2 linked regions of the Drosophila melanogaster genome follow. The protein of the gene in region 2 purifies or fractionates together with the protein of the main gene of each other region. This does not show direct contact. Each region holds a gene or a part of one and is shown on either strand. Other genes may lie near its edges.

Region 1 (14,760 bases), on a different chromosome or scaffold from region 2:
ATCCAATGCTGTTGAAATATAGTTGGGGAGACTGTATTGATTAACCTCCTCAGTTTCTATCTTGCATGTGTCTTTCTCGAATAGATCGTTTTATGCTTTGCTGACTGCTTCCAGGTATAGCTCATCGTCTCCATGCTCGTTTTTTACCTGGTATTTCTGGGCTACATTCGTTTCAGGGCCTTCCAGCTGGTTTTCTATTCCCGAGTTCCCGCTTTTTAATATTTTGCAGATCTTCCCCCCTTCCAACTTTTGAATGTATCCAAATGCCTCACGGGCGTCTTTCAAGCACGCTGGACAGATGATATCCGGCAGGGAGTCGCCTCTCTCTACTTGGTGGCCAAGCCAGCAGGTAATAATATCCTCAATGGAAACTCCTGGGTCCCATTGAATATGTTAATCATGTCGCCTTCCTGGCGCCTCCTCCATTTTTCTAAAACGGAGGTTTTATAAGGGATTTCCATGAAGAAACGCAAGTTACTTTAAAGATAGTTTATTTATTTCTTAATTGCAATGTTTGTTTAGCTGATAAGCTTTACAATCATACATCTAGTGTGACCATGACTAAGATGGTCAATTATACTAGCCATCCCAGAAATGTTTTGAAAAGGTTAAAATATGTTTTTGGTATTTTTGAAGGCTTGTTTATTTTTGGCATCTCTAAGAATGCAGTTTACATTTGAGTGCAAAAGAAAGCGCTGCTTTAATAAGAATGCGAATTTCACGCCTCTTCCAAGTGGACAGGATGGCGAACGTTACAAGGGAAGATTTACAGGACTATCCGTCGAGATAGTTGATCCCGAACAGGCTAAATCCCTGCACGATAATGGTTGTTTTGGCAAGGGAAGCAAATCTCGCGGAGGACCAGCAAGTGGAGACGAGAACGAAACCCTGTTTCTCGGAATGGAAGAGTCTTGCTTCCTGGCCCACTATTTAAATGTTTTAGATATAACCAACTCAGCTGGTTATTTAATGGACTTCTGCATGTTTGTGGAGGTCGCCAAAGAGCACAATGAGAAATTTGTTGAGAACTTGGCCAGCTATGTGTATTTGAAGTCCAAGAATTGGGTCATCAAGAGCGGTATTAAGTTCGGCGGTGATTTTCGTAAGTTCTTAACTGAAGAGCTGCGAAATATATATACTAACTTTCCTTTTTTAGTTATCTACAAGCAAAGTCCTCGATTGTACCATGCCAGCTTTTTGGTCATTGTGCAAAAGCCTGGTGATACGGATCACTATCAATCAAAGAACTTGAAGGGTGTTCAACGCGTGGCAGAAACTTCTGATAAGGATGTGCTGCTCCTGACTGTCCAACCGCCTAAGAAGATAAGCTCTTCCAGGGATTTGCAGGAAGCCACAGTAACAGAGACTATTGTGCGGCGTTTTAATTACTTAACTTTTGTACAAAGCAAACAACAATAAGGAACTACTCAGGGACTCTACAACTTCTCCAGCCGGTGCTTCTTGGGTATGCCAGTGCTGCGATAGTCGGCGCGCTCCTGCAGATATATCTGCTTGCACTCCTCCTTGAAGGCTTCGTTCTGATACCACTGGGTGAGGCATTCCTTCAGGGCTGAGTTCTGTTTCCGACAGGTGGCCACCATCAGTATACTGCTGGCCTTGCAGCACTCCTGGAAGTCGGCCACCTCCTTTGAGCAGAACTCCGTCTTGGCACGATCGCGCATTATCTTGGGTATCAGCACTTCGCGCTCCACCTTGCGCAACCTAGTATCATTTGGATCGCCTAGCAAGGGCAGTGTCAGTTGGTGGTCATATTCGATTATTCTGAGGACTCACCCAGTCCATGGGGATTGTGGGGATCCACGGCTGGCTGTTGTTCAAGGCTCATATTGTGTTAAAAATACTATTTATTTTGTATAACAACTTTTAGAGTGACTGCCACCGGTGCGATGAAAAATACTAGGGATATAAAAATACCACGAGTATACTAAAATTAGATTCATTTTTAAGATATAAAATATAATTTTATAATTCGATTTCTTGAATATTGAAATTACTTAATGATCGTCTAGAACACAAAATTTGCCCGACTGATCGCTAATTCAATAATATATTTTTTTTTAAACCGATAAACCACCTTCGTGTATTAAATTAGCCAAGAATCCAGACGCATTTTATTACAAAACTGCATTTTAAATGCTTAAATCAAAACCTAACTAAGCGGCCAGGCTAGCAGCGCTGATTGGCTCCAAATCTCGCACACCATCCTTGTCCACGACGGCGACGGTGAAGTTCTTGAGGTTGACGACCAGGCGCTTCTGGATTTCGGCAATGCACTTCTTGAAGACGTCGTAGGCCTCCGCCTGGGTTATATTGGGGTGCCAGTATCGGTCATAGATGCTGGATGCGAAGATCGCACCATAGCCATGACCGGCGTAATTCACAGGCAGTGCATTGGCCAAATAGTCAATGAAGGTGAGCTCCGGACCCGCGTTGGGATCGTAGCTTTGGGGAGAAGAAACAGATTAGGCACGGAAAGCAAATGGATTGACTGATCTCATGATCCTTACCCGGCCACAAACATGAACACTTGGTAGGGCGTGCGACTGCGAAGATATTCGGCCAGATTCTTGCGAGTAAAATGAGCCGATTCACGTGGACTTAAATCGTAGCCATTGCGCATCTTGTACAACGCTATGTTCTTCGAAATGAATTCGGTAAATTGCTCCGTGTCGCCCGATTCGCCGACGGTTGAAATAAGCAGACTATCCGACACCTTGTGGATTTTGTTCTGATCTGCAATGGAAATTCAAGGAGACTAACGAAATGAGTCCCAAGCCGCCAAGAAAATGAGCACCATTTGGGCTTACCCTCTTTCATCACTATAATGGATCGGGCGTGGGTGGTGTCCGCCGCCAGCATCACGAAGTCAGGGCCCTTGATACCCAGTAGAGTCTCCATGTTGCAATTATATTTATACTTTCGGGGTTTTTTAACGAAAATTACAAGTTGTTTGTGAGTTGCCGAATGCGATGACAAGCAAGTTAAATGCAGAGTGGCCGTATGCTGGGCGGCTAAAAATACCGCTATTCTGAAAAGATACTAATAAATATAAGCTAACACATATTTATAATTTTATTTTATATTTATTATTTATCATTTTAAATTAACTTAATTATACTTAATTTTCAATTATACCTAATTGGTATGATATTCAAATCTTATAAGTTTACTTGCTTACTAAAATTAAAATTAAAATTATTTCAATGTTTCAACTTTGTCTAAATAAAAAAAAACTTTATTTTTAATAAACCCATTTTTGTTTCCTTTAATATGAATATGAATATTTACATATACATAAAAATTATGTTATATAAATTATAATTATAAATTAAATTATTAATAAAATTGAATATCTTAGTTATATATTATTTTTAATTTTAATCGCAGTTAATCAACACTTGTTGAGTGCCCGGTTATAACTTGGCCACACTGTTCCCTTGTTATCATTTCATTTCACAATTAGTTTACGGAATTCGAACTATTGAAACTAAGAGCCATGCAGGCACCACCTCCGGAACACTGTCCTGGCGTCGAGAGCGAGGAGGCGGGCAAGGGAAGTGCCTGTTCGGGCTGCCCCAACCAAGGACTCTGCAGCGATCCCAACAAGAAACTCGAAGATCCCGGCAAGGCTTTGGTGGTCGAATCCATGAAAGATGTCAAACACAAGCTGCTGATCCTGTCCGGGAAAGGCGGCGTTGGCAAGAGCACGGTAACCAGCTTGCTAACCCGCTATCTGGCCAGAAGTAATCCGGACAGTAACTTCGGCGTGCTTGATATCGACATTTGCGGTCCATCGCAACCGCGTTTGATGGGCGCCCTGGGGGAGAGTGTCCACCAGTCTGGGTACGGCTGGTCACCTGTGGGAATCGAAGACAACGTGTGTCTGATGTCCATCGGATTTCTTCTGGGCTCTGTGGACGATGCCATTATTTGGCGAGGACCCAAGAAGAATGGCATGATCAGGCAGTTTCTGAGCGAGGTGGACTGGGGAAATCTGGATCTCCTGCTACTGGACACACCACCTGGAACTTCCGATGAGCACCTGTCTGTGGTTTCGTACCTGAAAGACGACGCCAACCCGGAGTCCCTGCGCGCCGTGATGGTGACCACTCCACAGGAGGTGTCTCTGCTGGACGTGCGCAAGGAGATCAACTTTTGTAAAAAGCAAAATATCCCCATTGTGGGCGTGATCGAGAATATGAGCAGTTTCCGTTGCGGCCATTGTGGAAATAGCTCCGAAATCTTTCCAGCCAAAACCGGAGGAGCCGCTGCCATGTGCGCCGAAATGGGAATCCCGCTGTTGGGCTCCCTGCCTCTGGATCAACAGATATCCAAAGCCTGCGATTCTGGCGAGGATTTAACTGAGTTTAAGAATGTCACCACTGAGGCGCTGGAAGGAATTTGCTCAAAGATTATGGCCAGCTTTAGTTAAGAATAAGTTAAAGACCACTCAGTTTTTAAATAAAAAAAAAGATGCCTGTACAATTTTATGTAACATTTATTATTAAGCATTGAAAGGATAATACCAATTGGAAATACCGATTCACCTGAGGTCATCAAATTACGTCTCGGTCTTTACCAGAAATTAGATTACCAGGCAGTTTACAACATGCCCCTTTACAGGATAAGAAAACATTCTACAATATTGAAGTAGGTTGGAGTTAAACATTAAGTATGGCTGGGGAAGATGGCGGGCTTGCTAGGGACACATCCGTGGTTACTCTTCCCGTGGCATCTGACGGTTGAGCAGCAACCTCAGTGGCGGCCTGTTTCAGATTTTGCGCGAGTATTGTGTCCCTCACCGTACTTTCCAAGGGCGGCGCAAATGTGGTATCCCTCCCCAACTCACTAATCAAGCGGACTATTTGCTCTGACGGCGGCGATTGGCTCTTCTTCGTGGGGGTATCGTCTTGGTTCTCGGCAGCTATCGTGTTATCCCCCTCAATTGTTCCACCCACGTACTGGCTGTTAGCGACCACTGGCGACTGAGTGGGCAGCGTAGGCGGATAGTTCAGCATAGTGATGGAGTCCGTACAATCGCTGACCTTGTATATGCCCACCAGGAAGTTGGCCAGCTCAAACATGTTGACACGAAGTGAAACAATTATGAACTGAGCGTTTTTCGTACGTTCCTAAGTGAACACAACAACAATTGGCTTTAAAATGTGAATGTAAGGCAAGAAAGCAGAGAGGTATTTACCTTGATATAGTGACCCACTATAGACACATTCTTGAAATCCAGCGCCGCATCAATTTCATCCATGAAGTACAGCGGAGAGGGCTTGTAATAATGCAGGGCAAACACAAGTGCCAATGAGGAGAGAGTTTTCTCACCACCTGAGAGATTCGAGATGTATTTCCAGCTTTTCTTTGGCGGTCGCACAGTAAAATTTACGCCCTCGGTGAACGGATCCATGGAGTCCACCAGCTCCAGCTCAGCATCGCCGCCCAGTGTGATCATCTGGTACATTTCCTTCAGTTTTCTTGTTATAATGCTAAAGCCATCCATGAACTCCTTGTACCGTCGCTTGCGAACTTCTTCGTACTTGTCGCGCATCTCATTGCGCTTGGAGGTGATGTCCTCCAGCACACGGACGCGATCGAGGTAGACTAAGCGCTTCTCGTTGAACTCCTTTATGCAACTCAAGTTGGGCTTCTTTGTTTTCAGATCTTCCTCCAGCATAGTTTGCTTATATTGCAAGGCTTCCAGAGTCTCTGCCTCCAGCTCTTCTTCGTTGAGTTCTTTGAGTGGCGCTTGCGGTTCAGTCTCTCCTGGAATCTCGTTGAGCTTCAAAGGCGCCAGTTGAGCCTGCCATCCGGGAATGTCATTCTTCACCTTGTTCATTTTTCCCGCTGCAGCTTGCAGCTTAGTATCTATTTCAATGCGCTCGATATTTCGTTTGTTCTCCTCCTTGGTGATCTCATCTATTTCTTTTTTTATATCGGAGGATTGTGATTTGGCGCCCTCGATGGACGCTTCCGATTCCTCTATTTCCTTTTCCAACTCCTCCTTCTTTTCCTTAGCCTTATTTCGATCCTCATTCAACGATTTCAATTTTTCTTCTGCAGCTTTTATATTCTCACGGAGATTATTATTGTTTCCAGTGATTTTCGTTATATTTCGATCTGCTGTGGCCAAGCCCACATTCAAGGACCGCACATTGGCGGCCAGCTTTTCTATCTGGCTATTTACCTTCTTGATCTTGGCCTCCACAGGCTTGACACTTTCATTTCTAAGGGTATCGTATTGGTTCTGGATCTCTTCGATTTGGCTGGAGACAGCCTGTTCGGCGAATTGTGCTTGTTCCAGCTCTTGCTTCGCTGCTTCTATTTGCTCCTCCCGCTCCTTGACTGCCCTTTCGTCTGTTGTTTTCTTGAGCATTCGCTGCCGCTGCGCCTCGCATTGCTTCAGGTTGCTGGCCATCTGTTGTTCCAAAGAAGTGATGCTCACCGCCAGCCGCTTGTACTCCGCCTCGTCACGCTGCAAGCCATTCTTCAGGGTTTGAATCTCGCGCTCAAGACTGCCCTGCTGTTCCTGGCAATAATTGACTCGGGCCTGTAACTCCTCCGCCTGAATCTGCATGTCTTCTAACGCCTTCTGAGATATTTGCGAACTGTCAGCCGATTCTGCCGTCTTGGTGCGCACCTGGGTGCCCATTTTTCCGCGTATAGGACGACTGCCGCCACCAGACATGGTTCCCGTCATCTCGATCATCTCACCACGTAAGGTCACAACTCGGTAGCGTTCCCTGCCGTAGGCGATGCGGGTGCCCTGTTCTAGATCGTCACATACCAGTGTGTTCCGTAGGGCGAAATAGAAAGCGGTTCGTACGCGGTCATCTTCAACCTTAACCAGATCGTACAAACGAGGAACGTTTTCTGGTCTGCAATAGTACGTGAATGGTGTTAATAACCATTTCCATTCATTCTGTTACTATTACTTACGTATTTATCCTGGAGTTGGCCTCACGACGATGGTGCTCAATCTTGTCCAACGTAATAAAGGTGGCTCTGCCCACGTTGTACTCCTTTAAAGCGCCAATGGCCGCCGATGCGGTCTCATAGTTGTCCGTAACAATGTTGTCCAACCGCCCGCAGGCAGTCGAAATAGCAATGTCGTACTTGGCATCTATGCCACCCAAATCACCCAGGCGTCCTAGAATACCAGGGATCTTTCCCTCCATCTTCATACGCATGAGGAAGTCTAGGACCTTGTTATTGGATCGCTGAGCCTGCATGACGCTAGATCTTTCATTGATCTGCCGGAAAAGGTATTTATAAATAGAAGAACAGTATAGAATGTAAATAAATGAACCATACCTCTGTTCTTAGTTTGTTGCACTGCATGGATAGGTTGCGTTCCTCTTTAACCATTTTGTCCACTTCCGCGGACTTGCTGGCAATTTCGGTCTTCATCCGTGGAATGCTTTCTTTCAGCTCGTCCACCCTTGTTACTTTCTCCTCCAGACTTTTCTGCGACTGCTCGTACGAACTTTTTAGGGTTTCATATTTCCTAGACTCAGTGGTCTCTGCCTGTTTAAGGATCTTGAGCTGCGACTCGAACACTTGAACCTCTCCTTTAGCCGTGTTGACCTTCTCCTTAAGGCCCACCAGTTCGTCACTGAGCTTAAGGCGCTTCTCGGTAAGCGGTGCAGTGGTTTTAGTTAACTCGGCCTGCTGCTTTTCAAGCTCCTCATTCAGTGTCACCTTACTTACTTCCAGGCTCTCCAATTTCTTGTTGCAATCCTCGATCTCGCGCTGATTTTTCTCCGGCAACTTGTGCAGATCCTCCAGCTCTTTTTCGTTCTTTTCTATCTGGGCTTTGTCCTTCTTGCGCTGCTTGTTCGTGTTCTCCATTGTGCTCTGGATCTCTGTGTAGGCACTCTCAACAGTCACAAGTCTTTTCTTGATCTGTTCGCGCTTTTTCACTAGAGCTTCGTATTCTCTGAAATTACGTAATGTAATGTAATATATAGCTCAGTTTGAAGTTGAAGCTAGGTACTTACTCAATTTCCTTTCGGATGATTGTTTCCTTTTCGGCTCGTGATTGTTTCAGGGCAGCAGTGCCCTCGTCGTGGGTTTTTAGCTCTTCCGCACAGGCTTCATGCTCCTGGGTGTACTGCTCCAGCTTGCTCTTTTTGATGCTGATGATCTTTTGGATGTGGAAGGATTTGGTGCGCACCAGCTCATTCTCCTTCTTCAGATAGTCGACGGCCTCATTGAACGGTTGCTCCAGATCTTTCATCTCGCGCTCGGCCAGCTTGCAGCGGTTGTGCTTCTCTGTTCGGTCGTCTGTGAGTTGATCTACCCGTTGGTTTATCTGCTGCAGTGGGCGAATGTAGCGCTGTGTTCCGACAATATCCTCCAGGTATTCCAACATTCCAGTTTCATTTTCAGTCTGCCCTTTTGGCTTCATCATGGCAATGGACTCCACTTCGCCCTGCAGAATGAGGAAGCGATTGTGCTCCAGATCCACATGATGCTTCTTAAGCAGCTTAGCCACATCCTTGAGCTGCGCCCGTTTGTCGTTGATCTGGTAGTAGGAAGAGTTGTCCGACATGGCAGTGCGTTCGATAACAATGCTGGAGTCGGGCACGTCCTCGCATGTGCCGTCGCCCTTGTCTACGATCTGCTTGAAGTGGACGGCGACCGAGCAGCTGCGTAAATTGGGATAACTAGACGAGGAGTGGATCAAGGTGGAGACACGCTTGCAACGGATGCGATTGGCGCGGCAACCAAACACAAACATCATGGAGTCGATAACGTTGCTCTTGCCACTGCCATTGGGTCCAATGATGGCAGTGAAGCTCTGGTGGAAGGGACCCAATTCCACTTCGCCCGCATAGCTCTTGAAATTCCGATTTACAATTTTCGAGATGATCAGGCGCGGTCCGGTGCTCTCCATGGAGCAATGTGGCGGCACCGGAGGCGGTATGTATATGTCGCCGATCCGGGTGCCGCCCTCCTCGTCGTCGAAGATCAGTGCATCATCCAGCGCGTCCACGGCGGCGTCCTCCTCCTCCTGTTGTTGCTGCGCCCGCAATTGTTGCTGAGCAGTTAGCTGCGGTACGCGAAACTGGCCGCTCTGCCGGGCTCCGCCAGCTGCCTTGGGCGTGCCCTTGCTGGGACGCGCCTTCTGCATCGTGCGCTATTCTCAGTAAATTCTCCGTGTGGATTTATCCAGGAAAAATCCTCGAATTACAAAATCGCTTTTTCGGGCGCCAATGGTAATAGGACGCTATCAGCAGTGTGACCGTCTTGATGTGCCCGCAAAATACTGGCAAGGCCGTTAAATAAATCAGGCGAGTTGTCAGCTCTGTAGTTTGAATTTAAATTAAAAGTCGTTACATCGACGCTAAGAACAAATTTCAAATATTCTAAAACATATATGAAACTGATATTTGTAAATATAATATGAAATATTATTAATTAAATCACAATAAAACTCAACTAAGTAGTTTTTTCGATGAAGTTAGCAAAATAATGAAATACATTTATTTCATCGTAAAGTAAATGAATTTCATAATAAGCAAGCAAACTACTTAATTTCCAAAAAAGCCGTGTAATAGTTTGGAAATTATGAATAACTCAGCGCGCTCTGCGCTCCCCAAAAACATAAGCGAGACACCCACTGCGCGGAGCTTTCTCTCCGCTATCCGCAAGTCAGAGAAATGCCCAAATATATATAATGCCTTGGCTGCATCTCGCACGACTTTAGTCACAACTCGACTTTGGCTCGGTGCGGAACCATTTTCACTGGCGGTTTTTCCTTCGGTTTTCCGATCGCGCGCAAGATTAAAGCGCTCAAAGCAAGCAGCCAAACACAAACGCGAGTGGCAAAGTGGAAAGCAGGCTGAAAAATGCTCTGCCCGGGGGAAAATGCCTATAATGCAAATGGCCAAACGGGTTTCACAGTCAAGGTCGTCGCTTCCGCCCAGCGACGCTCGAAGCCACAACCAACAGCGCGAATTCCCAACGCCCACCGCTTACCCAGTTTGTGCATCTGGATGATGGTGGCGCTTATGATTATGTCGTCGTCGCTGGACGCCCTGGTCATTGGTAATTTTCTCCCCTTTTGTTCGCTTTTCGATTGGGTACGACTGAATTTATTTAGTTTTTGGCATGCTCATGCGCGCATGCGCACATTGGGTGTGAAAGTTGTCGATCGAATCGAAGGAGTTATATAACACGAAACGACCAGCCAAGTGGGGCCAAGTCGGGTTGTCCACATGCCCGCACCCGTCCCCAAAAAACAAAACAAAAAAAAAAAAAAACTAAAAAGAGCGTGTGCATTGAACCCCATGACAGTTGCTGAAATTTTCCTGACCCGCTGCCTTGGCCTCTCTGGCCGGCGGAGATGATAAATTTACTTTCTAAATGCTGCAAATGCCCAGCTGCCCCAGCTAGACATTCAGCTAGAGCTGCAGATTGAGATTCAGATGGAGATCGAGATGGAGATGGAGATATACACACACGGACTGTCAGTCAGTCGGTCTATCTACTATAGTCACACATATGTATGCACATATCTCCAATCTTGAGATCGCATCTTGCATTTGGCCAACACGCGTCGCTTGCCCAACCGCCTGAGTTACGATATGGTGCGGCACGGCTACGGGCCATTGCTGCCGATCCATGATGCAAACGCATTTCAACCCGTCCGCCGCAATGTGGCACATGGCTGGGACGCATTTCCAAGTGGGTGGAGCTGGCGTTAGTTTCAGAAAGACCTATTACACAAGTGATTTGAAAAAGTTCAACAATTTACTATACTTATCTCAAAGGTGCTCCATAGTTTACACTCAATTCTAGCAATATTTATCCAATATTTTCAATATTCATAATCATTTCCAAGTTTGCCAGTGCATATAAATTGGAAAAATATTTTTAAATGGCAAGTCAACATAATTTTGAGTGCTAGTTTAGTGCCAGCTGTACTTCGTGACTAGTTGTCTTACTATTGTTTCCATCACGTTTAAATCACGGCGGAAGATCATCTAAGATCACATTATGGTTAATATAATGTTAATTGAGGCCTCGAGCCAATCAAAAAGGTCATCGAAGTCCAACGGTCCTCGGAATTCAGGCACTTCTAAGCGAGCAAGTGGCCTACACACATTCATATATACATATATTTCCTTGAAGTTTGTCCAACTTTTCGTTTCAATTGAAGTAGCGACGTGGGTTTTTTTTTTGTTTTTTGTCGTCTTGCTCCGTAATAGTTGACTACTATTGGCAACTATGCGCACCACCCATTTCAGTGCGTGATTGGTATCCAGCTGGAAAAAAGCAAAAATATTTCTGCAAGCGGCTAATTTTGGGCTGACGTGAGCGGTTTCGTTTTTGGGTCAATGCATTAATCAGTAATCAGTCTCCTTGTTAATTACACACGGCTATCTCACACCCAGTTTCTTTTTTTGTGTGCCTGCTTTGCAGACAATGATGGAATAGTCGGCAACCAAACTCGGCATCGTCGCTCGACCTCCGGCGCAGCCAGTTGCATGCAAGATGCACGCTTCTACCGCAACCCCAACAGGCCGGTCCACAAGATCTGGACGAACAGCGAGTGCGCCAAGTATTTCCTCTGCCTCGACGGTGAGGTGTTCGAATTCAAGTGCTCCGAGGGATTGCTCTTCGATGTGGTGCGTCAGATCTGCGACTTCAAGGCGAATGTGGACAATTGCGATGTCAGCGCGGAGACGCCGGCTCCAAAACCACTACTGGAGATGGCCGACTGTGCGGATGAATACCAGTTGGGCTGCGCCGATGGTACCTGCCTGCCGCAGGAGTACTTCTGCGATGGTTCGGTAGACTGTCCCGACGGCTCCGACGAAGGCTGGTGCGATGTGGAGCACGATCCGAATGCGGCTGGTGCCTGTGATCCGCGAAAGTGCCATTTGCCGCAGTGCTTCTGCTCGAAGGATGGCACCCAGATACCCGGCAGTCTTCCGGCACAGAGTGTTCCGCAGATGATACTGTTGACCTTCGACGATGCCATCAATCACGATAACTGGGAGCTGTTCTCCAAGGTTTTGTTCACACAGCACAGGCGAAACCCCAACGGGTGTCCCATTAAGGGCACATTCTACGTTTCACATCCGTTTACCAACTATCAGTATGTGCAGAAGCTTTGGAACGATGGTCACGAGATCGCAGTGCACTCAGTAACGTAAGTTGTTGATCAGCCTGTAAATTATTTAAAATTGAAATTTCACTTTTATTGATTAAAGGCATCGTGGCCCAGAGATGTGGTGGTCCAAGAATGCCACAATTGAGGATTGGTTCGATGAGATGGTTGGCCAGGCGAATATAATCAATAAGTTCGCAGCGGTACGAATGGAGGAGATTCGTGGCATGAGAGTACCCTTTCTGCGCGTCGGCTGGAATCGACAGTTTCTCATGATGAAGGAGTTTGGCTTCGTGTACGATTCATCCATGGTTGCGCCGCATTCGAATCCTCCTCTGTGGCCCTACACCTTGGACTACAAGATGCCGCACAGCTGCACGGGCGTAAATCAGAATTGCCCGTCTAGGAGTTATCCGGGCATTTGGGAGCTGGTTATGAACCAACTGGAAGTGGGCGAGTATATGTGCGGCATGGTGGACACGTGTCCGCCGCATTTGAGCGGCGAGGATGTGTACAGAATGCTCACGCACAACTTCAAGAGGCACTACCTCAGCAATAGGGCACCATTTGGCCTGTATTTCCATTCGACTTGGTTCAAGAAAGTCGACTATCTGAATGCATTTCTGGTGAATATTCGAATTGTTACCCATAATACTAGATCTTCATTCCTTCCTGATCATTTAGAAATTCCTCGACGATCTGCAAAAGCTGCCGGATGTGTTCTTCGTGACTAACCAGCAGGCGATTCAGTGGATGCGCCATCCCACGCCCAGCAACCAGCTGCACCAATTCGAGTCCTGGCACTGCCAACCGAAGGACTTGGATCCCCACGAGCAGGTCTGCAACACGCCGAATGTGTGCAAGGTGCGTAGTCGGGTGCTGCAAGAGGATCGATTCTTCTACACTTGCATGGAGTGTCCTGCCCAGTATCCCTGGATTCGCAACGAGTTCGGCTTGGACTAAGGTGATAGCCCGCTTGACACTATAGGGCTCTGCGCAAGGCGCTTTGATATATCCATAATGTTTGGAGCGTTCCATAAGTAATTGGATAAGATTGATACAATTTTAGGTTTTAATTGTTTAGAAAAATTAATATTTATAAATTGGATTACGCATATTTAGATGATTCAGCTTTCAAAATCTGACCGTAAGCAAACCCGTAGATAACTTCGTAACATACCTGAAGAGGATAAAGTGCATTAATTTAAAATCGGAACACTCTGAATTTTATGGAGAAGCTTAAACAATTTCGCGGGCTCATAAACGTGGTACTTTGCGGCCTGATTAGATTTTAAGAACTAATTTATACGTATGTATGTCTCCGCTAAATATATTTAAACCGATTTCCAAAAGAGCTTTGTACTTAGTCTACATTCTGGAACGCATCCCAGCCACAAAACCTTGGACTATTGCGTTATAAACGGATTGGCGATGCTCTCGACTCCGTCTTGCGGACAAATGAGGACGAGGGCTGTGCCGCGACAGACGACCAGTCCCAGGCTGCGGGTCTGCTCCTCGGTCAGTTTGTAGGGCTCATCCGAGTCGCGCAGATACTCCACCGTGTTGTCCAGCACCAGATTGAGCAGCGCATCGTAGCCCTTGAGGATTCCGGATGCCTCGCGGCCGCCCGCGAATTTCACGCGGATCTGTTTCTCCAAGTACTTGGAGAGGTCCAGAATGGACTCCTTGCGGCGCTTCTCCTTACCGTCATTGTTGCCACCCACCTGACAAGTCACGATTTTGATGATTAAGCACCACAATGTAGTTATTCTATTTAATTTACCTTTTTATCTGCCATTATTCTGTTTTTGGTAAATGCCGGCTGGTAAAGAGTGACCAAAGCATATTTTTTTAGAAATACACCAAATAAGGCGCTACTAGCCAGCAGATGGCGCTGGTGAAGTAATCTTATGGGCCGCGCTTTTTGAGGTACATAATCGATAATAATGGAATAAACATATGTAAGAATTAATGTTATTTGAAAAATATGACAACAAAGTTCTCTTATTTCTACTGTCATCATTGTGAAATTATTTTCTTACCTTTTGCTATTGAGGCGAACATATCAATTTATTTGTATAATAATTATTATATTGGTTTAAGATATCGATAAGATTCATTTATTTGTATCGATATGCTGGTCACTCTGACTGGCTCTCCATTTTGTTTTCCACGACAGAGCAATTTTTAGTACAACAGATTGTTATCTTCTACCAATTACCGGATCGATTTTGTACATTTAAGTGTTTTAAAGCCACCTTAGGATCATGGGACGCAAGAAGAAGAAGGCCTCCAAACCCTGGTGCTGGTATCCTTTTCGCAAAACAAAGATATAAATATTTTTTCACTGCATGTGCCGCTCGCTGTATCTGCACATACACACACATTTATATAATGGTATTGGGTTGGGGGTAGATACACACACACATGTATATGCATACTGGCTACAACGCCGCATCCCCGTGAATTTTCCTTAACTCTTAACGCAAAAAACTAGGTACTGCAACCGTGAGTTCGATGACGAAAAGATCCTTGTGCAGCACCAGAAGGCCAAGCACTTCAAATGCCACATCTGCCACAAGAAGTTGTACACCGGACCCGGACTATCCATA
Region 2 (16,346 bases):
CCGATTCATATTCGCGGACAATGCGCAACGTTTCCTCCGGTCCCTTGTGGGCCGAACTCACGCGAAGTTCCACATTAAGGCCGAGGGATCGACAGCTGGTGGCTATCTTCTCGCTGTGCGATATATCGGAAGCACTGCCCATCAGAATGACAACCAGGTGATCCTTCTTGGGCACAATATCAGCCAGTTGTTCGGCCACCCAAATGAAGTTCCTCTTTACGGTATCCAAATCGCTGGCCGTCACCGATGCCAGATTGCGATACACCTGCTTGTCGACCATCAAACGCTTGTCACCCGCTGGCCACAAGCGCCACGAATCGGAATCAATGATATCGGCCAGAACTATGTTGCCATCGTCGCAGATACCGAACTCCACTTTCATGTCGATCAGGGCGCAATTCTTGGTCTGCCATGCCCTCTCGAGAATCTCGAAGACCAGCAGTGTGGTTCTACGCATAATGTCCACCTCATCTTGGCCTAAAGAAAAACATGTTGCCAGTTTTAGATTTGTATATGTAAAAGTGCTTTATGCCGCAAGTACCCACCGATCACCAGGCCATTTAGCTCGAACTTGGCGGAGACAATTTGCTCCTCGCTCCACTGGGGATCGTGGTTGGCATCATCCTTGAAGAACGTCTCCTGTTTGGGCGGCGAGAACCTGCGCAATGCAAATGTAATTGTAGTAATAAGGCAGCAAATTGAGGCAAATAGATGAATAAATTAAATATCAAGTGACATTTGTATTACTTCTAGTATAATATATATTCTACAGTAACTCAAAGAGGCGAACTTGTTGGCAATCAAAGCCATAAAAAAGAGCTATTGCCTTGGTATGACGACATCAAATGAAACGAATTTACACATAGCATCTCAGCAGCATTGCCCTGGCGAAAATCTTGACTTGAATTACAGATTTCGTGGGCTTTGAGTTCACAAACGATCAATCTTATCAGCGATTGTTGACCCTGCTGCAGTGCATCGATTGCATTTGAATTTGTTTACCGCAAGCGGACACAGATAACACACAGATCGCAACAAATCGAATGGGGTGATAACCCACAGCCAGCCATTGGCTGTTTACCAACCTGTAGCCCTCGGGCACGCCGACATTGCGCTTGAGGAACGAACCGGTGGCCAGGCGACGGGTCACCCACTCAATGGGTATCATCTGGCACTTGCGGGCGATGAAGGCCTTGGCGCCGCACTGCTTCACATAGGCGGTGCGAATGCCTGTCGAATAAGAAGCATTAATTAATTAATTAATTGATCAATTTGGTTAGAAATTGACTAAAATGCATTATAGTTGATTTGACTTATATGGTTTAGCAACTCACCTGCCTCGTTGAGCAGCCGGAAGACCTGACCGTTGGTGGTATTGGAGATCTCCGCCTTGCCGGCCAGATCATGTGCTTTGACACCATCGCCGGCGGTGATGCGATCCTTGCTGAGGAGCAGGCAAAGTCCTGGCTGCTCTGGCAGATCGTACACCTGTTTGGTTTTGCCCTCGATGATGACCTTGCCGAGCTTATAGCCCTCTACTGTGGAAATTCAAGTTGCAGTTGCATTCGTTACGTTCGGTGTTTAGTTAGTATTTAGAATCGATGCTATATGATATATGATGATACTGATTTAAGGAATGGAAAGACAACTTGTTTACGAAATCCACAATTATCTTGATTTAAACAATGGAAAGCCAGCCTTCTTGTTTACAGCAGACAGCTCAATAAACAGCATTAAAATATTATCAGAACCAGGAAAATATTCCGTTGTTTTATTTTTTTGAGTAACCCGAATAACTGTTTAAATAAATCCAAGGCTGGCGGGAAAACATAAACAACTGTCTTGCTTTCCATCACATTAAGCTTGTCTTTTATTGATGAAAGATCGAATAAAAGATGGTAGCTTTGGTACTATTTACGTTCTAGGCACAACAATTGTTTATTTGGAAACCTTGGCGATGGATAAACTTACTGGATGCTGTTGTGGTGGTGGACATCTCGTTAATCGCACGTTGTTGGTCACTTCACTTTAAGAATCGAAATTGAAATCAATTGGCTGCTGGCTGTTTCACGTGTTGCGGGCTTTGCTTTATGCTCGATATTCGCTGGTGCCTTCCCTCTCGCTCTCGCTCTCTATCTCTCTCTCTGTCTTTTTCGCTCTCTCCGCTTGGCTCTATTATTACAATCCGCAAACTCCGATGTTCGTCTGCATCAAAGAATCGCTCCAAAGCAACTGAGCGTCTATAGAATCGCCGGCGCGACTTTATGGCTCGATTTTCTTATCGCCGAACCCCAACACCAATGCAAAGAGATCCATGTGTTTGCGCTCGCGTGTGTGTGCTTGCGTGTGGGTGTGTGTGTGGGCTTAGAGTCGAGTATAATGCTGATTGGTAATACCCTGCAGTTTCCCAAATGGCCGATGAACACCGCGCGGGGCAACTTATGTACTTATGTACATACATACATATGTACATTTTTTGGCAATCTATAAAGCTTTGCTTATGCGTGACAAATTTTATTGTCGCATTTTATTTACAAATTTTGTTTCTAAAATATTTTCTATTCATTTGGTGACTTTCTGAATTTTGAATTTTTCTTGATTTTTGTCCATTCTCCAACTCCTGACATCCACCTCGTCCTGCCTAACATGCTCATCCTGTGATCCTGATCTCTGTCTTTGTCTCTGTCTCTATCTCTCCAGTAGGTAGCCTCTTTATCGTCTTGTTGGCTGAACTGCTCTTTTTGGTGATTGTATGTGTGTATGAAACTTTTCCTTGAGGGAAAAAACGTATATTTCTGGTGAACCCATCTCCGCCGTGTCAATTTGCTCCTCCTAGTGTTCCAAAGCATTGCGTTGCGATCGTCTTCAGTTCAGTTGTTTTGTAGAAAATATATGTATTTTCACTTCTCTCACAAGTGGTTTATTTGAGTGTATTCCTTCTCCTCGGCGGTTTTCTGTCTTTTGAACAAACCAACGTAGTTTTATGCTCCTCTTTAGAATTCTCCTCCTCGCTATCCTCCTCATCCATCACCAGTTGGCCATTTAATGTCGGAAACTTAATGACCGGCAAAATTTTGCGCTGCTGATTGCTTTCATTCATAAGCTTCTTGATGAGATTAGCGATATCCTCACGCTTCTTGGTTACTGTGAGCAGGTCAAACCAATTGCTCAGCTCCTTAATGGGCAGTGTATAGTCGTTGATGGGTTTTGTGAAGAATTGCTCCACATATTGCAGCAGATAGAGGCCGCAATCTGTAAGATTCTGCTGTTGCGGCACCTCCACACTATGACCGGGCATATTATCCTTGTTAAAGACATGCGCCAGCGCATTCGGATACTTGGCCTTGTGCTCACAGGTGAGATAATCCCGCAATATGGCAATCGCTCGATGTCTTGAGGTGACTGCCAACGAATCGAAAATAAGTATCAACGGCTGTTTGATGGGAATATCATCACTGAGTGTCGTCTGCACATTATTATTGTTTACCACCGGGCTTCTAAGGTTTGGATAACATATAATGGCCAGTATCCAATGGGACTGCTCATTGAATGGTATTATAATGAAGTCCTTGTCGAATATATTGACGTTTCGTGTCCACTTCTCAACCCTTTCGTGACGCTTCTGGGCCGCCGTCTGCTTCGTATTTCTGGGATTCGTTCGTGTGGTCAATCTTTTGTGGAAAAACGTGCTAAAGATATGCGTCCTATCGCGCTGTTCCTCTGGTATGATGTTATTCTTTAGCCAGCGCAGATAAAAATCAATGATTATATCGTTCAGATACGATCCTTTACTGAGACACATAAAGTCCTTGATGGTGATGCTCAGGCCACCGGTACCAGTTGGCGGATATGTGAAAAGGGTTTGATTCTCATCGGGTGAAAGTCTTCTCTCGGTTTGGCCATCATCGGCGGCGGTGGTCTCCTCATCACCGCTGCTCACCAGCACCACGGCATCTTCATCAACGTCCCTGCTTAGTATCCAATTGCGATTTCGGCGCAGGCGACTACGCTCTGCGCGTTCTGCTGGTGTGGGTATAGCAGCGTCGCTAGTTGCTTTCACCGCTGGCGAGGATATGGATGCAACATTCGATTGCACCCGCGATTGAGATCCACCAGCTGTCTCTTCCGATTTCTTGCTAACAGCGGCATTGTTCCTCGACTGGATCCACTGGGAGATTGCGGGAGCATCTTCAGCTGGTTGCACGCCCCGAAGACCATTACTCGTCATTGTAGAATTGGAGGTTATAGCCGTGGAGTTGTGACTTCCCTGTTTATTGCCAGATGAACTAGGGTTGTCATGAGAACTAGCAGCTTGAATTCCATTGTTATCCTTTGCAATATGGCACTTCTTCTGTTTCTTGGCCTTGGTATTAGTATTGGCGTCTTGATCCGCCGACAATATCACTTGGCCATCATTGTTTTCTCCCGGACTCCCGCAAGGACTTTTCTTGTGCTTCTTGCCTTTGGTTGCACTTGCAGCTGGCTGGCAACCATTGTTGGCCACCGCAGTCTCTGATGGTTTGACAACCGCAGGGGAGTGCTCTTCACCGGCCATCGCATTGGGTGGAGCGGCATCAGCCGATGATGCCTTTGACTGATGCACCTTCCTATAGAACTCCTCCGCATGGGCAACCGTCTCGGCAATGTTATCACTGATGGGGAAGCCCACAGAGACAACCAAATGGATAATACCGCCGGCATTCTCAATGCAATCAATCGTGGTGCTCTCATCGATCTGAAGGTCCATTTGGAAAAACAGATCCTGCACCCTACACGCAAGATTCGGCAGCTTGAAGGTGACGATGTGCTGCTTTCCACTGCTGTAGATAATCAACATCCTGGCACTTCCTTTGTCCGGATCCGTGTCGGCTCGATTGATCAGCAATTGACGTGAGACTAATATAAAGTCATTATGGGCAATTCGACGTACCGCTTGGTCCTTCGAAACAGTTTCTTTGCGATCCATTTTGGAGCCGGATTCAATAGTATAACATATGTACGTTATATGGGCTGATCTGACTGAACTGAAGTTTCTCGTTTCGATTGCAAATTCTCGGGCTGCTTGATGTGCAAAGTTAACTGGATGGTTGAAGAGTCACCTAACACGGTGACTTTGATCACTATATTCCTTTCATTTTCCAATCTGTGTGTTTTATGCGATATTTGATATCTGTCTATTTTTATTGTTGGGGTAAACGGCGTCCCAAGTGCTGTATCCAAAAATCATCTGTGCGAGTTGCTATCGCCATCGGAGTTTTGCTGCTCATATCGATACATATGTATATGTTTCCAATTGGTATGGATTTTGTGGGGTGTTTTTAAAAATATGTATCGATAGTCCGCTTTGAAATTTGAATGTTGCGAATATTGAAATTAAATAATATTTGAACTGACGAAATATAGGCATTTAAGCGAATCTTAGCTAAGCTAAGTTCTTTGCTTTTCATTTACAAGTATTAGTATTCTTACATGTGGTATTTACAAAGTTATAAGTTCAGCCGTTTGTTGCAAGTTCTTTGTATGGGAATTTTTAAAAACCAAAAATTTATTCTCGTTTTAATTTCAACATTTTGCAAATACAAGTACAGACATTAATCAAATTATAGTTGTGCGTCCGTCATCGGGTCCACCTGTCCGATTTTTAGTCGTCAGCATTGAGCTCCTCTCACCACATGGATCGCTTGGCGGCGATAAGAAAATCAAATGTAAACAAAAATATTATTGTTTTTTTGTTTTTTGCCAAGAGCGTATTTATAAAAAAAAAAAAAAAACAACTGACAGACACACACACGTTTTCCTTTCCGCGGGCCAAAGGGCTCCATTTCGCAATTTGCATCGGTTGCCAAGTGCGGAAAAACGCATCTAAATCACAACGTTGTTAGCTGTCAGAAAGTTTGCCAAGTCGAATTCCTTAAATGTGAAGCAACTGGAAACTGGCTTTTGTTTTACATTTACAAATTTACTATTACTACTACTGTATATACTTTACTAAATAGTGTCATATCTGTGCTGGCTGCAGTAATATATTTTGCAAAATATATTTTTATTCGAATTGTTTTTTCTTATGCATATATTAATTATATATATTATTTAAAATATATTTAACATTTAAGCACGTGGAAAATGCATATGTAAATAATACAACAAGCCTGCTCTATTTTTAAATATCCAGCTGAGTACATCATATTTTTCGGGAAAAACTTATGCTATGTTTTCCGTTAGTTCTTTATTAAATTGAATTTTTCGTTGTAGTCATATAAACTTTTTTGTTTGCTCTAACCAAACCGTTCGCAGAGAAGATGTCATATTTAACTAACAGCTTTATTTTTTTTTTAAATACGCGGGACTTTAATATTTAATTCTCAATTAATTCTCGAAACGATGTTTTTAGTTCATGCTTTTTAGTTCCAAAGCTGAGACTCAAACCCAATGCCAGCTCCATGCAGCGCGGACGCACACACCGCTCGCTATCGATACCCAACAATTAGCCGTCTATCGATATTTGCAGACTATAATATTTTTATTTACACTTGTTGAAAAAGAAAGAACATTTATTTATTATTAAATTTAATTTTTTTGTAATTTAATATAAAACAAATATTAATATAATAAAATTAAAAAAAATAAGATATATTTTCAGATGCATAATCTTAAACTGGTATTGATAAACATAAGTTTGTCGGAAATCAATTGATCGGAAATTTTTTGGCCTCCACTACAAATTGAAAATGCATATACAATTTTAAGATTGCATGCTAATAACTGAAATTGAATAAATTTAAATTTGAAGAAATTCGTTTTCTGAGTCTTCGAATAGCGATGAAAAAAAAAAATAGACATCGATGTTTCGGAAAATCGATAAAAACATCGATGCATCGATGTTAGCTTCGATATTTCGGTACCGCTAGTTGCCACGAAAGTCGCTCGAACGCCGGTAACGGAAATTCTCAGCAAACGCAGCGCAACGTCGTTTTCGCGTCGCCGTCGACGTCGGCGTTGTGTCGTCGCCGCAGCAGCAGAAAATAAAAATAAAAGAGAAGAAAAAGAATCGAAATAACTGCATACGAAATAGATCGAAATAAAAAGTAGTCGCTTTTATTAAAATCCACAACAAACAAAAGCCGAAACGAAGAAAGTGAGCATTCATTTGTTGTTGGTGTGTCAAGCGAATTCCACACGCAGCCGCCAATTGTATTAAATTCGAATTGTTTAATTTAATTGTAAAGGTTTGTCCACAACAAAACGGAGCTGGCGAAAATTGCATTTATTTATGTTTAATTCGAGTGTTTTTGTGTGTGTGTGTGTGCTATGTGTTTTTGTGTGTCTTTAAGTTGATTTCTTTTGCTATTATCCTTGGCGTGTCTGTAGTTCTCTCTGCCACCCTCTCTTTTTGAACGCTCTCTTGGCGCAACCCCCTTTTACCGTTTTTTGCTTATTTTGTTTTGTGCCAGATGTGTTCGTAAGGGAACAACAATATTAACCCTTGATGGACCCAGTTTGCAAAATAGTAAATAATAAGTAAATTTTTTGACACAACGAAAAACTCTATAGTTCTTCCTATGCACTTGAAATACAAATGAACAGAAAACAAATTCATATTGTAAAATTGTCTTTTTATGCAAATGGAGTTAATTTTGGAGTTAATTTTGTGTTCTTATTTATTAATATAATATTTGAATTAAATTTAATGAAGAATTTTTTTTAATATCAATGGATGTCCTCGAACTAACATAACGCGCAAGTGTTAAGACTGAAAATGGAAATAGGGGCAGCGAACCGAATAAAGGAAATGGCAAACAAATAGACAATTTATTTAGCTGATTATATGCAGCATTCAAATCGGGATTCAATAGCATATCAATTGATAGTATCTCATTGATAGTATCTATTAAAACCCGTAGAAAAACACAATATGGTATGCTAAATTCCCATTCCTTCGTTTCTCCCCCGTTTTGTTTTGTTCCGTTTTTCGCCGCTGGGCGCAAATTTAAATTGATTTTTTCTCTTTCTTCTGGGCGGCTGCACATACAGCTGCGGTCAAGATATTAGCATTAGTTCAATTCTTTATCAATACCATATGCACTCTTTCACAAAACCTTATATTAGCAAATATTTCCTATTCACTTTTATTTTGGGTATGACATTTAAAAAGGGATCGTATTTTATGCAAGTTTTGCTTTTAACTTCAACTGCTTGCAATTTTTTTTTCCCCCTGAACTGTAGTATTCATCACTTGGTGCGCTTGTGACGTTGTGGTTTGTTGCACTCGCATAATTGTCATATTAATACGTGCATAAAAGAGTGAGCAATAAAAGTAGTGGAAGGAACAGGAGAAATGGCGTGCAACACAGCAATTGCCCATTTCCCCTTTCTCCCGCTTTATCAGCACTTAAAACACACTAGCCCAAAAACATAACAAAAGGACGGTGCTTGTAAAACTGTAAGAATTAGCCCTTTAACGCCAGTTCCATTGTTCTTTGTTCTGATTGCTAATAATTTGGTTTATAGTCTTCAAACTTTTACTACATTATTTATAAATATTAACAAATTTGCTCATTATTTATAAATATTAACAAATTTGCTCTTTTCAGCGCATCGATCGGAACAACAAGGATATCCACACACAAACCACACACCTAAAAGACTGTAATCTGCCTTAACCATAGGAAAGTCAGAGAAAGAAAAGCCGGAAGTCCCATACAGGATAGCAAATCGGGCGAAGATAGCAGAAGGCATCTGGATCCAGGATCTGAAACGGTTGAATCACTAAGCATAAACATAATCAAATGATCACCATGACTTCGTTTATCGAACTGCTGGGACTTTTCTTGCTGCTGATGCTGCCATTCCTCTATGAGACCAATCACATATTCCGATACTACTTCAAATTCCTGATGTACTACGGCATCGTGTCGTTCAACTCGATCATCCTCATCCCGGCATTCCTCACCAGACCATGCGATGTCCGCAATCTGCTGTAAGTAGTGCAAAATATTTTTATGCAAATATCATGAAACACTAAACCAATCTGATATAAGAATAATAATACCTTTAGTTATCAAGTACAAGTATAGCTCAGTTAGAAGAGAACTCCCATATCTGTTTATTGAGTTCAGCATGTTTTGATTTAGCACTAATGGGCTGCCCATCTATATATCAATAAAGCACTCGAGTGGCTGATTGCCAATCAACAAATTGTAGACTCATCGATTAGTAATACAATACACAAAAGTATTTGCTAAAGTGTTTTCCATTATGCCTAACTATAAAACATAAAACTATATCGTATTTTAGTTACGACTTCGTTATAATGCTTATTTGGCTTCAAGTCTTTTTCTTTATCAAATCAAACATGCTTTCCAATGGTGATGATATCACCACGTTAATTACAAATTACAAAGTGCAAAATGATGCACTTTATCATGCTTACGAGTAACCTTGACCCAAATAAATCTTAATGTCATTCACTCTAAAAATTTTAATGGAATGATTTAATAACATTTGTAGGGAGCACTTAACTTCAACACCCATGATACCCCTTTTAAATTGCTTGCAAACCCAAAATAATGCCAAATGTCTATTCACTTTATGATGATTTTCCCATGCAAATTAATGAGCTTAATGAAACAATTTTCATCACACATCACGCCACCACAAGACAATCAAATTGGTGGTAAATAATGCATTATATTGGCTTGACGGGCAAATGGAGTAATTGCGGTATCACCAACTTAATTTCAACCGAAATAAAATTGCCTTATCATTGAAGACCGCAGGTGGGGCGTCCTTTTCGAAACGGTCTCCTTGAGTTCCCAAGGCGAATGCCTCAATGACACATACATTTGGCCATCAATATTAACAAGGGCCCAACTGCGGAGGAGTGACTGCAGGTGTCCGCAATGCACTTCTGGCCAACTGGCCAACTGGCCAACTGTCACTCAAGGACCCAGAAAGTCCAAAAGCCACAAATTGTTGTACACTTGAAGAATGCGAAAGAATGGTATAGTTTTTGTGTATGCAAAAAGCACCTTAGACACCTTAGAACTAGTTACTTTAAATTTATTTAATTTATTTAATTCTGATCAATCAATTTAGTTTAATTATGATCATTGCCAAAGTTGCAACATTATCTAAACTTTTTAATCTCCAAATCTCACAAATAGTTTAATATACGCTTAAATAAGTTAAAAGATATAGATTTATTGCTTCATAAACTTATGTTTATGATGTTTGCGTTACCAATTCCGGTATCGGAAATTGAATTTGTGACGAATTTCTTGCCAATTTGCCGTCGCGATAAGGTTTTTTTTTTTTATGGCATCCTCGCTGGTATTTGTGGCCCATGGTTGTTACCTCTAATGTGGCTAGCTGAATTGAAACACTTGAGAACTATAAATGTTAAAAAAAATACATACAAACAACAAAATGCAATGGGTATCGTACAGTTCTGATGTCGTAAAATTCGTAATTATATTTTCTTAGTGATTTGTGTTAGTGATTTTAAGTGAGGCCAGTGCTGCCTAGGGTCGTCAGTCCAAGGACGAAATTTTCGAGGGGAATTGAAACGGACTGTTGGGTTCTCGAGTTACCAGTTGGCTATGACGCCAATCTGGGAAAAAAAAGGGGTACTCTGTGGCGAAAGGGAGCAGTTGCACGCAAGTGGAAAAGCCAGGGAAAACCGAATTGTGTCCCCAATGCGGTGGGTTTTTTTTTTCATTTTTTTTTTTTTTACCATTTTGGTATGTGGTTAGTGGCAGCTGGTAGCTGGTAGCATTGCTCGCCACCTCGGCGATTTTGCGCGACTCAAATAACCATTTGCATTAGACAACAATGAATATTTGATATCAGGGGTGGATTACTACAAGTCCAACGTAGTCGCACACACAAATACCACTCACCTAAATCAATTATGCCTCTTGCCAACTCAACTATTTTATGCAGTTTATCGATCCATTTTCGGAGGCGCGAAATGAACGACGAGAATTCCTAGTAAACAGTGTGCACCCTCCTAGGGGTATAATTTATACAATTCCCGAGCTGTAATTACATGTCATGACTAGCTGGATTTAGTTGTAGTTCAGGTGGAATGGTTATCATCCCGGCGACAAGGTAAAAATCAGAGCTACGCCTCGATGGCTGTCAACTTGATTAAATAATGTTGCACTCACAATTGGCCGGTGGATTTGTTATGGTATATGGATTTCAGAAAATGACCGATCCCTCTTGGGCTCCGTATAATATAATCTCTATCGAAGAAATCACTGATTACAATGTTACTAATATATTTTCGATTTCTTATTTCTTTGTTTGTAGATGGGCGAGCACCTGGTGCCACCGCGTTTCGACGTTGATTGGCCTGCGATGGGAGCTGCGCGGCAAGGAGCATTTGGCCAAGGACCAGGCCTGCATCATTGTGGCCAATCACCAAAGCTCGCTGGATGTGCTGGGTAAGCCTATAGGTTTCTCTATGCCCATCAATCCATCAATCAAACAGTGATGCCAACTAAATGAGACTTTTTTTTCTTTATGATACGCAGGCATGTTCAACATCTGGCATGTGATGAACAAGTGCACAGTGGTGGCCAAACGAGAGCTCTTCTACGCCTGGCCTTTTGGCTTGGCGGCATGGTTGGCTGGCCTAATCTTCATCGATCGTGTGCGCGGCGAGAAGGCGCGCGAAACGCTAAACGATGTTAACCGGCGCATCAAGAAGCAACGTATCAAACTGTGGGTTTTCCCGGAGGGAACGCGCCGCAATACGGGCGCACTGCATCCGTTCAAAAAGGGCGCCTTTCACATGGCCATCGATCAGCAGATACCCATTCTGCCGGTGGTCTTCTCCTCCTACTGCACATTCCTCAATGATAAGAAAAAGATTTTGAATTCGGGTCGCATTGTGATTACCACGCTGCCGCCGGTTAGCACCGAAGGACTAACCAAGGACGACATCGATGTGCTAATGGAGCGTGTCCGCTCCCAGATGATTGAAACGTTCAAGGTGACGTCTGCGGAGGCGTTGCATCGTTATAAGCCCATTAAAAAGGTTGGAATTCCAGCCGCCTCATCAGCATCAACATCATCTACGACAACAACAACATTGGCATCACCGGGAACTGCTGTCACTCCCGTTGCGGATGCGGCAGTGGCTGCCGCAGCTGCCGTGGCCAGTAGCAGTTCGGCATACGGTCAACCGCCGGGCTACGAAGCCGGAGCCGCAAAGGCCAGCTTGCTCAAGACACTTTAGGCTATGCAGCAATTCAATTCAATCCAAACACACACACACACACAGCCAGCCACACACACTCATATCCAAAAAATACGAAACACCTCATGGCGTAGCTGAAGTGTCACGTTTTGGGGGCTTTTAGTTGGACACGTTAACTGGCAATCAGCTTTATTTGGGCCTATTTGGGAATTCTATAGTCCACAGTTGTGCAATTATCGTACACGTGCAGTATTTGTTTTGATATTATTGTTTAAAGTCCAAACTATGTTTTGTCATCATTTTATTGCATACTTTTCGTAATTTATTTCTCTCAAAAATGACTTTATGTAAGAATATTTGTCATTAGAGTATTCATTTTGAGGCGTGTGAAAAATTAATAAGGCAATGATTGTTGAGTGCTTCGTGCCTCAAGATATGAACAAAGCAAAGACACTAGAATAATTCTAGTTATCATATTTTTTAATGAAATTTATGAAATTACAGTAGTTATAATAATTTCTATTGTACTTCCTTTAATTAATTAGTATATTTATTAAGTCATTTGACTTAAAATGATGTAACATTAACATTAAAAGTGTTTCAAAAAAAATATTTCGCTTTTAAAAAATTGTCAGATGAGAGACAAATTAGAATTAAACATAACAAATTTTAACAAACAAATTTAAAAAACTTTAAAATTATAATAGTCAGGGCGCGAATTTGTAAAAATTTTTTTATTTTATCATATTGCTAGGAAATTGGCCAAAAATACCCTAATATGTACAATGTAAATTCGTTTCTTCGATCAGAATTGATTTCGGCCCGAAAATCGTCTTCTAGCACAACACGCACACATATACGCGTTCTCGTCTCTTGTTTTTACTCACACAAGCAAGCAAATTCTATTTTTAGATTTCTTACGCTCTCAGCGGGAGTGAGCGGAAAGAGAGTAATTTTGGCCGTCAACAAAAAAGTGGCATCTTGTTATTCTAGTGTCTTTGGTTATACCCTGTTGAATGGAATCGATTGATTCAAAAGCAGAAGCGAAAGCTGCTGTCGATTTCAATTTTATTTAATTAACTGAAAAAAATAAGTTAAAAATTGCTGCTTACTTGTAAATACCAAATCCGTACCACTTTAAAACAACGAATTAAGAAAAGTATTACCACTTTAAATAATTTAGCAATATGAATTTTGATAGTGCGCTAGTCTTAACTGAAAAGGTCAAATCCCAAATAGGTCTATGTTAACACACTTTTTTCGAACATAAATCACCTGTGTTTGTTTGTGGAAGTCAACATGTGCATCATTTTGTAGATTTTACGCACTTGCATAATATTTTAGACACATCGAAATGTTAACGAAACAGTGTACTTGAAAAGCCAATTCCATGTTACGATTTCGGCTACAGTCCACGCAGCAAAACATCCACTCACTTTCAAATAGTTTGACTAATTCAGGCACCAAAAAAATGAGTATTAGGAGTAGCAATCACAAAACTGCGATCCTCGACTGTCAGACTTTAACTCTTTTGTAGGCAACACATACCAAAAAGCAACTAAAACAGCAAACCAAAAAACATTAACTCTATCCCTTACACGATGCAACAGGAAGAACAGAAGAACATGTCTAACTCGAAATGGCTTGGATTATTAGGGAATTGTTAAAATCCAAGCAATTTCGATTAGGTTTTTATCCGCCTAGATTATATGATAGTTGCATGTTATCATTTAATCCTGTTGCCGCGTGTACTTGTTAGATGATTACACCAAATGATATGTAATTAAAATTAAATAAATATCTAAACACATATTGTGAATGACGACTAATCTTGCAAACGACATTACATACTTTATGTAGGGCGAATTCTGGTTGATTTTTACAATCGACCACTTGACGAGCAGTTAAGCCAGTTCTTTTTTTTTTGTTTAAAACAATACGTATTTTATTTTTACAAGACATTCCCTAACTAGGTTAGGGTTCCCATTTAAAGGTATTTCCTTACTCGCTTACAATTGAATCCCGAAATGGATTCAATGTACTATTTATCTAATATCACCTCATGGCATCTAAGGAATTTAAGGGATCTTTGAACTAACACCTACATATTTGTGTATTGTATTCAAATATATTGTGTATCTGTCTGGTAAAGTGTTAACTTAACTTTGTAAATACTATGCGGTTTACTTTAAAGACAAATCAAAGGCGATAGTGTGCGAAAGCAAAAGGAAACAATTAAATACGAGTATAATAAATATTTTTTTCAAATATCTATGATTGTTTCTTTTTCGGGTTTGGTTTGGTTTGCTTTCAAGATTTCATCCTTGGACTATGAACATTTGTATTTTCAAGTGGGCTTATCGAATAGTTTAGAATTATGACGATTGTTCGAAATCAAATATTGCAAAATCAATAAAATTACTGTGTCTTTTTGGGCACCTAACAACTATCAACAGTTGAGTCTACAATCTGAGATTGGCCCTTTTAGACGACGTATGTATGTGTGTGTGTATGATGATCTTGGAGAATTCTTCTTATCGCAGCTGATTAATAGCTTCCTGTCCAAATATATCAATTATCGCAGAGCAAACAAACACTAAATCTTAAATATAAAAACGCCAGCAACTCGAAGAACATAATGCATATTCGATTTCGTTTGAAATCTAATCGTTGGGGTTTCTCTATGCAACCTTTGCTTTGGACCATTTAGATAATGTATTTTTGATAACAGAATTTTGGCAACGAGGGGGGCCTTGTTCATTGACCATCATCAATTTGGCAAGCATTTATATTAATCAACTGATAAGTTTAATCAAATGGTCGATATTCCGCAAATGTTTGATCAATATTAATTATTAATATTTATGCTTAGTTTTTGATATGATATGATATGATTATACGAGTATGCCCCAAAAAAAAAAAATAAATGACACAAGTACTGTTATTTTAAGCTATTGTGAAAATATTTGTATATTTTTGTTAAAATTTTCCTGGTATTAGAATTAATATTATTATTATATTAAGGTATGCGTACATGATTTTGGATTTGCCTCTTTTGCGAAATTATCGGTTAACATTTTATGACATTTGTTGCATTGTTTTTAATTTTAATTAAGAAGTTTTTGTATTTGCTTAAAGTTTTCTCATTAGACATTCTTGTTATAACATTGTTTTCGATTACATTAAAAATTGTCAAGTTTAATAGTTTTGTTTGCCTTTTTTTTGGATTTGGTTTGGTAAGGTTTAAGAATTGTAAAATATTTCCTGTTCTACAATAATTAATATCAGTAATAAAGATTAATAATTTCCAGTCTGGTAGGCAGGATATATAGCCCAAAGAATAAATTAGTTATATGCTATCTCTATCATTTTTGCTATGTTCGCTCTCCCTTTCACGTTGCCAGTGTTGAAATGGCTTTATTAATTTTCTTTACGAATTTATGCATACATCGTATTAAACTGAAGGAATATATTAAAAACTGTCATTTCGATTTGTATTCCAGTTATTGGAATCGAATGAGCTTTATATCCTGCCTGTAGCCCACTTCATCGTTTATATAAAACATTTTTTCGAGGATCTTTGGGTTCCTGCAAATGGCAAAGCGCTTAAGCTTAGGAAAAAGTTTTTCGGTTGTTTCACAACACTGCTATCTAGAACTAAAATCGATCGAAAAGAACTCAAATACCTTTTTTTTTCAATATCAACTCGGGGTTATAATCATTATTCGTGTGATTTTTATTCGTTATTAGTTGTTAATTAAAGCCAATTTGCATTTGTTAGTTGAGTCTATGTTAAAAAATTTGTTAAGCGCGCTTCGAATCTGCCATTCTCAATCTCATTCTCATTCTCATTCTCATTTTCATTGTCATCATCTGTTTCTATTCCGATCTGGCTTAATTAAAATTTGTCATATTTCTTATCAGATACTTGGATTGATGTATGTATACATATCTGTTTGTATATATATATATTTTATCTGTTATGGATCATAATTGGTCAGATGTTGTGGCATATTGAATTGTACATTCAGTTAATTAGTTATTCTTTCTTTCTTCTAATTTCCTGTCTCGCTGAGCTTCATTTCACTTTTTCTCGAATTTCCATCTCTACTTGATCTGAATAGTTTTTACCATATTTATG

Evidence for each region.
Region 1: the proteins of Agpat1 (region 2) and Prosbeta4 purify together in Drosophila melanogaster (affinity purification with mass spectrometry, with the first as the bait; one large-scale study listed by BioGRID). This does not show direct contact.

What each region holds. Positions count from the first base shown.
Region 1 is NT_033779.5:16,729,115-16,743,874, forward strand, and holds Prosbeta4 (proteasome beta4 subunit), read right to left. Parts: upstream 3,020-14,760; 5' UTR 2,920-3,019; coding exon 2,829-2,919; intron 2,755-2,828; coding exon 2,529-2,754; intron 2,464-2,528; coding exon 2,175-2,463; 3' UTR 2,066-2,174; downstream 1-2,065. Other genes in the region: Tsen2 (tRNA splicing endonuclease subunit 2), read left to right, coding at 664-1,102, 1,157-1,419; CG17996 (uncharacterized protein), read right to left, coding at 1,437-1,741, 1,795-1,846; Nubp1 (NUBP iron-sulfur cluster assembly factor 1), read left to right, coding at 3,518-4,453; glu (gluon), read right to left, coding at 4,683-5,153, 5,222-6,905, 6,967-7,280, 7,342-7,966, 8,028-9,163; ChLD3 (chitin and LDLR binding deacetylase 3), read left to right, coding at 9,882-10,080, 11,458-12,190, 12,252-12,774, 12,833-13,111; LSm7 (uncharacterized protein), read right to left, coding at 13,555-13,872, 13,932-13,946; BuGZ (Bub3 interacting GLEBS and zinc finger domain protein), read left to right, coding at 14,416-14,450, 14,646-14,760.
Region 2 is NC_004354.4:12,758,378-12,774,723, forward strand, and holds Agpat1 (1-Acylglycerol-3-phosphate O-acyltransferase 1), read left to right. Parts: upstream 1-6,888; 5' UTR 6,889-7,226; intron 7,227-8,192; exon of another isoform or gene 8,193-8,301; intron 8,302-8,591; 5' UTR 8,592-8,786; coding exon 8,787-8,977; intron 8,978-11,313; coding exon 11,314-11,447; intron 11,448-11,537; coding exon 11,538-12,244; 3' UTR 12,245-14,474; downstream 14,475-16,346. Other genes in the region: PAICS bifunctional enzyme, read right to left, coding at 1-477, 546-658, 1,086-1,230, 1,335-1,538, 1,972-1,996; pira (pirate), read right to left, coding at 2,921-4,966.